Linked DNA regions of Saccharomyces cerevisiae S288C. Changing the gene in region 1 together with any one later gene gives a genetic interaction. Each region holds a gene or a part of one and is shown in the gene's direction. Other genes may lie near its edges.

What was found.
Region 2: mutations in SNG1 (region 1) and NCE102 impair growth when combined (synthetic growth defect), as found in Saccharomyces cerevisiae (one study listed by BioGRID).

Annotation. Positions count from the first base shown.
Region 1 is NC_001139.9:891,367-896,609, reverse strand, and holds SNG1 (Sng1p), read left to right. Parts: upstream 1-2,469; coding exon 2,470-4,113; downstream 4,114-5,243. Other genes in the region: YPP1 (Ypp1p), read right to left, coding at 1-1,917; FYV8 (Fyv8p), read left to right, coding at 4,424-5,243. UniProt on the Saccharomyces cerevisiae protein: May function as a N-methyl-N'nitro-N-nitrosoguanidine (MNNG) export permease.
Region 2 is NC_001148.4:828,218-831,494, forward strand, and holds NCE102 (Nce102p), read left to right. Parts: upstream 1-1,700; coding exon 1,701-2,222; downstream 2,223-3,277. Other genes in the region: SUE1 (Sue1p), read right to left, coding at 2,838-3,277. UniProt on the Saccharomyces cerevisiae protein: Involved in membrane organization. Required for the formation of membrane compartments of CAN1 (MCCs), localization of CAN1 at the MCCs and subsequent invagination of the plasma membrane at the MCCs sites.

The DNA of each region.
Region 1 (5,243 bases):
ATTTGCAGCAAAAATCCACACCATTTGTAAAAGATATTCTTTAGTTTGAGAATATTTGGGACCCATGCTGTTCAATTCAGGTTGTGAATCTGGAAATAATGTTGCGTATAATTCAAAGACCTCTGGAAGTGTCTCCAGTGCCTCTAAAGTGCCAAAAATTTCTTCAATTAGCGCCAATTGCGTTAATTTTAGGTGAATAAATTGCCATCTATCATTCAGAAGTAAAGTATTGTTCTGAAGACTTTCATTCATAGCTTCTAGAACAGAGCAAACTATCTTGTACGACATTTCCTTATCCTCTTGCACAGACCTACAAAGAGCTAATAGATGCCAAGCTTTGTAGTAATTTGGGTTTTTACTTAATATCAATGATTCTAGAGTCTTGATTGCAGTTTCAATGTGCCTCTGTTGTGCTAGAGTGTAAGAATATTTAAATTGTAATTCACGTAATGCCTTCTCCTCCTCTCCTTCTTCCTGCTCTTCTACATCAGCATTGTCTTTTTCTTTTGTGGACAGCATCATTGCATTACATAGATATGAAGTCAAATTATTAGATACAAGAAAATCTAACTGATATTTTCTGATTTCGTACAATGTTGACCACGCATTTGTTAGAACTTTCGAAATGTTTCCTGGGTATACACATCTGGTGCTGTTTTCTAGCCAATCTAAAGATTCTGATTGGCTCATTAATGGCAAATTATATTCTTTGTAGAAGGAATTCAAGGAAGTCGCAAACGTAGATACCGTATTATCGTAATCAAAAACATTTTCGATTGAATCGGTTTTGGAGGAGTTTTGTAAAATAAAAGAATACGCATCAATGAATGAAATTATGTCACGGTGGGAGTTATCGTGCAGTTGATAGTACTTGTCGTTGTATTTCACAAAATTAACAAAATTTAGTATAGATTCTCTTTTAAATGTCTTCTTCTTTATTTCGTCATTACTGTTATCGCTTAGGTTTTGGAAAAGAAACATTGCTGTTTTCGAAACTTCAATACTTTGAAAAGTCTTTTCCATTGAAGATATTATGAAATTATACCAACTGGGATTCACTTTTATTTTTTTTATGTGAGTGAATTTGAAATAATACTGCAAAAAGACATTAAAATGCTCCAAAGCTTCATCATTTGTCTCACTAGCAGTAGGAAATTTGGCCTTCAACAAAACGTTCTGTCCGAACTTCAAATAAAGATCATCATTATCAATGTGCTTTTTGAGAGGTGACTGGAACTTCTTTATCATGTAAAGGAAAAGAATAAAAGGATTTTCGACGGTAGTTTTAAAATTTTCTGCTAAATCCTGAATTTGATTGAACCTGAGTTTTGCGACGATCAAGCTGATGTATTCGAAAAGAAGACCGTTTGATTCGGGAGGGATCGTATCCACGTGGGCCAGTAGTTCTTTGTAAAAAACATTTTGCATGATATTTATGTCTTGCGAAACTAGACCACGGTAGTACAGGTTTTCTACGATCAAATACCTATCATACTGCTCCATAAGTGCTGTTTTTTGCGATGCAGTGTTATTATGAATTTTCAACGAGTGCAGCAAGCACCGCTGCGATTCCTGAAATTGGCCCCTGTGGAAGAAAAGAATACCGAGGCAATTGAACAGAATTTTCTCCACTAGTTTTGTAATCTCCGGATAGTCATTCAACTCCTCCATCATACTCATATTCTTTTCTAAATTTTGACTTTCCTTCAGTAAAACATCACAAACTGGTTTTGCAGGCCCATTCGATCCAATAACATGGTAATGTAGTCTAAACTGTAAGTTAAGTACGGAATCTAAACTATCAAACCCTGAATTGAAGGTGCTGCCACCTAAGAGTCGCGCTCTTAGCGCTTGGTCGACCACATCTATTATCTTCGATGGAACAGTAGGAGGAATCCGAACATTTGAGTTAGGCATTGGGCAAGTTGGTATTGAACTTCTTTCCAGCTGGCGTGTTCAACTTGTTCCTTCCAGTATGCCACACATTATGCCTTGCACACCTAAAGCACATATTTTCGTTATTTTTCACCACAATAGGTGGATCTCGAAAAGGATGGAAAATCAGGAAAAAGAAATGTTGAGAAAAAAATAAACCGATTCCCGTTTAGTTTTCTCCTATTTCCGTGTATATGCGTGGTTATTCGTTTTCGAATCCTTTTATGAATGTCCGAGGAGGTGGTACAATCCGAAATAGACTAAAGAAAAGCGAAAGCCGTGAGTTTGTTTGATGATAGATGACTCGCAGCTTTGTCATCAACGGGCCACCCTATTCGAAGAAGGGAATGGAAAACGGACTGGCGTAGTCAATAAGCGTCTTCATATCTTAGCATTGTTGAGAGATACATAGTGTACTCCATATCGTTCTTTTTTTTTGTATATATCAAGCCACATATCCTGTTTCTTTAATCTTTTATACGCCGTAAGAATCGGGTACTGACATAAGTGTAAGTAGCCGTACAGAGAACAAATATGACTAAATCGGTTGGTGATGAAGAGTCACAGTACATTGAGGACCCTAGTTTTGCAGCAGCAGCTGCATTTACTGGCGGCAGGGACGGGGTTTCGTACAGTAATCAGCGATTTGCTGAGGGTTCCGGCCATTCTTCTGACTTAGCAAAGTCATTAGAAGACTATCGGCCTCCTGATGAAAAGCCGTCCTCATTGTCATCTGTGGGGGAAGGTGGCGCTAATGAGGAAGAGAAGGGCGGTAACGACGGCGGTCCCTTGGCAAGAATTCAAACAGGGCTTTTTTCTCCAAGACTGCGAAATCATAGGAAAAAGATTCTCTCGAAGTTTGTTTTGAACAACTTCTTCATTGCTTGTGTGTGTGTATCGCTCATATCGATTTACTGGGGTGCCTGTTACGGAACAGATCGTTACTTTTTCAAAGTGAAAAATATTGTTGTATTGCAGGATGCGCCATCTAATACTTCAGTTCAATCTATTTCCGCGATCATACCCTCATTGTTAGCGTCTGTCCCCGGGACATGGCATATATACAACGCAACATCATTTCATAGGAAATTTGGTACGACGAACTCCACCGAAATTGACAGAAAGATAGTCGATTTAATTTACGATGAGAGATACTGGCTGGCGTTAAACGTTAAACCTAATGCTACAGACACTTTGTATAATTCTTTGATTAGCCAAGACGCAAACTCGGAGTTCAATTCATCAATTTTTTTTGAATCCGTGTTTGAAAGTGGTCGTGACCCATCGAGTGTTAAATCGACCATTCTACCACTCATGCAACAATTGGAGGTCCGCCTTCAGAAATATTACGTCAAGGAATATCTTCCCTCATTGATGAGCAACATCACTTCTAATGACAGAGATCTTAATATAAACATGGAGAACTGGGCGATTGCAGGACAGTTGTTGTTCACCTACAACGATTATCGTCCCTTTGCTGATCGTATTCTAATGGCCCCTCTGCAGGTCGGTCTGATTTATTGTATTTTGTTAACCGTTTTACAACTGTCATTATATGGTAAGTTGCACGGAGAAATGGCCAGAGTTCTGAAGCCAAAGCATATTTTAATCTACAGGCTTCTAATTTCCTGGGCAACTTATTTTCTTCTTTCCATTGGATTCTGTACCGTATCTGCAATTTTTAGGATCGATTTCACCCCCGCCTTTGGCAGAGGAGGATTCGTAGTATATTGGATGTCTACGTGGTTGGTAATGATGGCTGTTGGTGGTGCCAATGAAAACGTTCTCAGCTTAGTTATAGCTTACTGCCCTCCATACCTGAGTATTTGGTTGATGACGTGGATCATATTAAATATTTCTGCTTCATTCTACCCAATGGTTTTGAACAACGAATTTTACAGGTACGGCTACATAATGCCAATCCATAATGCCGTGGATATCTATAAAGTGATTTTTTTGAATTTAACCAAAAGAAAAATGGGAAGAAATTACGGTATTCTCGTGGCATGGGTTGCCCTCAATACATCCTTGATGCCATTTTGTATGAAGTTTGCAGGTAAAAAAATGCAAAAAAATGCTATGCAAGCAGCAGAAGCCGCTGTCGCAGCAGCTACCCAGCGTGCTAGCCGCCCGGCAGAGGCCAATACTGATAAAAATAACAACCCGCCCGGAAATTAATGGGTAGGGTTAATAGCTTATTCATATATACACTTAATACGATTAAAAATTATTTATATTCTCATCATCATAAGATGAAGATGCAAATATCACAACAATTATATAACGTCGTTTGTTTGTTTGGTGACACATTAGTGTTTCATTCCGGGTAGCTATTTTGTTTTTCTCATGCCAAGAATTCTGTAAGGCACTTAAAAGTATTCCTAAATACCACTTTCATACATGGTTAACAAGGTAAACACAAAACTTGCATTATAGTTAAAAGGGACTGTTTGATCATTACCCTTTTTCTGGAAAGCGGATATTTATTATGAGCACTGAACAGGTCGGTAGAAAGAAATCGTATAGATGGGTTAGCGCATCTCAAGCAAGTTATGACGGCGCTGGATGGGACAGTAGTGACGAATATGACTACTCTTCCGAGGATGGCACAAAAGGTTCAGAAATTCACAAGCAAAAAATATCTAATTTGCCTAGTTTACCCAAGCTCAATTATACAGATGTTAATGGTGAGCATGATGAAAATACGGGTGAAAATAAAGACAGCAATGATAATAACGTCAGTAAGAGTGATATTAGTCCTAGTGACAAGGAAGTAGGCTATCTCTCAGATGGGGTGCCTAAACTTATGGCTTCAAGAGAGTCTGTGGAATTACAAGCGAAAAAATCCAGCGAGCACTCCAAATCAGATTATCTTTCGTCGACAGCATCTTTGAAAAGTCCAAGTGAAAACAAAAAATCACCACATACAAATAGGGCTGTAAACGAAGACCTAGACAATTTGATAGAGCAAATATCAAGGGAGATGACACCAGAAATTAGGCAAACATCTGATTTTCGGCGTGATTCAGACAGTTGTGACGAAATCCAAAACGAAGCACCATTAGGGGAAGCGGTACCCTCTTCATCATCTCCTGTAGAAGAAGATGAAAAATCACATTCCTTAGGGGTTTCAATGGATACTAATGAAGCTGATACCACTTTCAATACGCCAACAAGGAATGGAAATGAACATTTGAGTAGTGATGGCGATGTTTCTGAGCAGAAAGACGACGAGTTTAAAGTTTCCGAAAGAGGCTACCTTGCAGATATTCTGCCTGCGGAGAAAGAGGAGAATTTACAACAAGAAG
Region 2 (3,277 bases), on another chromosome or scaffold:
CATTATTATTTCAAGAGAAATGAAAACCAAAACTGGGATATGCGTGTCGAGTGCTAAAAAAAGCCAACTAGCGATTTAAGAGTGAGAAGTAATCCTCGTTAAAAGCGATGCAGAGCCAACTAACTAAACTGCTAACCTCGCTTTCTTTACACAAGTAGTACTCAAGAAGTTTCATAAAATGCCCAGTTACACACTCGTGAAATGCACTTCAAGGTGGTGTTACAATTTTCACGAACTGCAACAATTGAGTATATTTATTAAAGCAGGAATATGTTTGCCCAATCAAACGTAATTTCATATATGAACATATATGAAGTTGCACACATCAGCGGGAAAGATGTCTCTACCGCTCGAGGAGCCACACGTTTGATTTGCAATCCATGAAATAGAACTGCTAATCCCATATACAATTAACTATATCAATTTCCTGAACAAAGAGATTACAATCAACGGCAAAGCCGCCTGCCTCTCCGGAGATCTCCTTTTTTCTTCTTTCTTTTGTCCTATGTTGCATAGTTGCTCATGTCTTTTCCTTAGGCGGACAATTAAGAGCAGCCACAATATTTCCAAAACTAAATTGCTAAAAAAGCGTAGCAAAAAATTCTCGTCATTCCCACTTTCCCTACCTTAACCCTTGATGTTAACGCCGTTTCGCTCATCGGAACAAACTATACAGATAATTAAGCTTTTCGGCAGCGGTGAGAAAGGAAGCAGCCAGGAGGAATACGCGGCTTTCTCGCGGAGCCCGATTGCCGATACAAAGGAACTGTTGCCTCCTCCCGGCTATTTCCATAGGCCTTCATTCAGCATACTGTTGTGTAGTTGCATCACATCCTTGTTGAATGAATTCCAACTATTTCGATAAACCATCCCATGAAGGAGAATGCAATGCGGCTTTTGTTTGTAAACGGGCTTGAGAGGTTCTATGCGGTTAATTCTGTCACTAGGGGTCCGAATCTCGGATTAAGTATAAAATATGTATTACCCTGATGATTGACCGGATGATGTAAGGATGCATGTCCCTACTGTTTTGGTATTTCCACATACGGACGGGGCCCCGAAACACCACCCCCATTTTAACGGCCGCATCTGAGCATCGGCCCATTTGGCACACGCCCGTTAGTGACGTTGGTAGGGGCATTTCCCTGAGGTAGGCCCAAGGTTGCTTTAAAAGGTCCATCGCAAACCCCTTGTCCGCGGACCTCTGCGTCATAATTAAAATGCCCAAAACATAAAAGTGATCGCCCCCTCACAGAAACTTATGGGCAGCTTGCTGCCTTAACGGAATTGACTAGAATTGGTTTGATTTTTTTTTCTTCCTACTTCTTCTTCCATTTCCCTCCCCTCTTCCTCATATATGTATACAGAAAAATCATACCCCTATAAATTCCTTGGCCCCAATCTTCTGTCAGATTTTCCTTTATAAAAGAGTCTTTGTTTTGTAATTAAAAGATACTTTTTTCTTTCTTCTTCTACGTCTCCTTTTTTTTTTTTAAGAAAATTTAACTTATACCACTATTTTGTTCGCAATTGATCAAGAAAAAATACAATTGAAAAGGTTTTACATTTTTAATTTTTCTGCTCATCGCGCTTTTTTAAAAGGATAAATAAACATTTCTTTAAAAAACATCTTCAATAAGAAAAATCGGTTAAAAAAACTTTTCTTCTCAAAGCATACCTAATAACAATATAATCCCATAATGCTAGCCCTAGCTGATAACATTCTACGTATAATAAATTTCCTATTTTTGGTTATTTCCATCGGTTTAATCAGTTCGTTGTTAAACACCCAACATAGGCACAGCTCCAGAGTAAACTACTGTATGTTTGCTTGTGCATATGGTATATTCACCGATTCATTGTACGGTGTCTTTGCCAACTTCATTGAACCATTGGCATGGCCACTAGTTTTGTTCACACTGGACTTTTTGAACTTTGTGTTCACTTTCACTGCCGGTACAGTGTTGGCCGTTGGTATCAGAGCTCACTCATGTAACAACAGCTCATACGTTGACAGTAACAAGATTACTCAAGGTTCCGGTACCAGATGTAGACAAGCTCAAGCCGCTGTTGCATTCCTCTACTTCTCTTGTGCCATCTTTTTGGCTAAGACCCTGATGTCTGTTTTCAACATGATCTCCAATGGTGCCTTTGGTTCTGGTTCTTTCTCCAAGAGAAGAAGAACTGGCCAAGTCGGTGTTCCAACCATTTCCCAAGTCTAATTGAAGCGCACCAACTTAAATTTTACGCCACTTTCAATTAAGAATATAATAAATGGACACCGTGAATAAATTAGGGAAAAAAGAAAGCAAATAAGAAAACTCCGTTTTCCCTCATCCCTTTCCGTCTTTCGGAAGAAACAAAAAATTATACCCAAGGAAAACCCGAAAAAAATGAAAAAAATACCAGAAAAAAAATAACAAATCATATGCACTTCTTCATTAACGATTATGAAGAAGTCTTATTTCTAACTAATATTATTATTATTATTATTATTATTATCATTCACCCCGCTTTCTTTTATTATAATTTGTTCTTCTAATATTTTAATTTTTAATCTTTTCATACTATTCTTATATCTAACTAAAGTATCCTTCTCTTTGTCTAGTTTTACTTCACTACATACCTGTTGCGTTGATTTGAGTTTTTTGTATGTAAGTTCTGTTTATCCTTTTTCATCCTACCGTTCCGCGCACGGCGTGACGTGGATCCCTAATGTGAGTTCAAATCGGTTACAAAAATTAATAGTTTTGTTTCCTATTATTATTATTATTATTATGTATGAGGAATCGTGCTATAAAATCATTTTCCATATGTATATGCCAAATATTTATTATTTATTTCATCTTTTTTTTGCTTTTGTGTGTCAACCGCATTTGCAGTGCCTTGTCAAACGGCTTCAACTTTCTCATCATATATGGGGGCACGTTTTTCCATTCAGGAAAATATTCCATACCCATACTGGACGTAGACCACCAATTGAATGGCAACAGCTCATTGGGTACGGTGGGATTGTACTTCCATGTACCGTTCACGCCACCTGACATTATACCACCAGTGCCACGTTCACCAAACAATATGTTCTTGTGCTTTTTCTCATCGATCGTCTTCGCCTCTGCGTTTGTTTTCTCGTTCATTGTTAATAACGTTTGCAAGGACTTTCTCTTCTTATCTCTGAATAGCGGGTTTTCCTTCACTGGGTACATTACTGGCCTGTATCCGCTATACAGAATATCGCGGGTGAGCTCCCTAGCTTCCAAATACTGTGTAGTAGGTA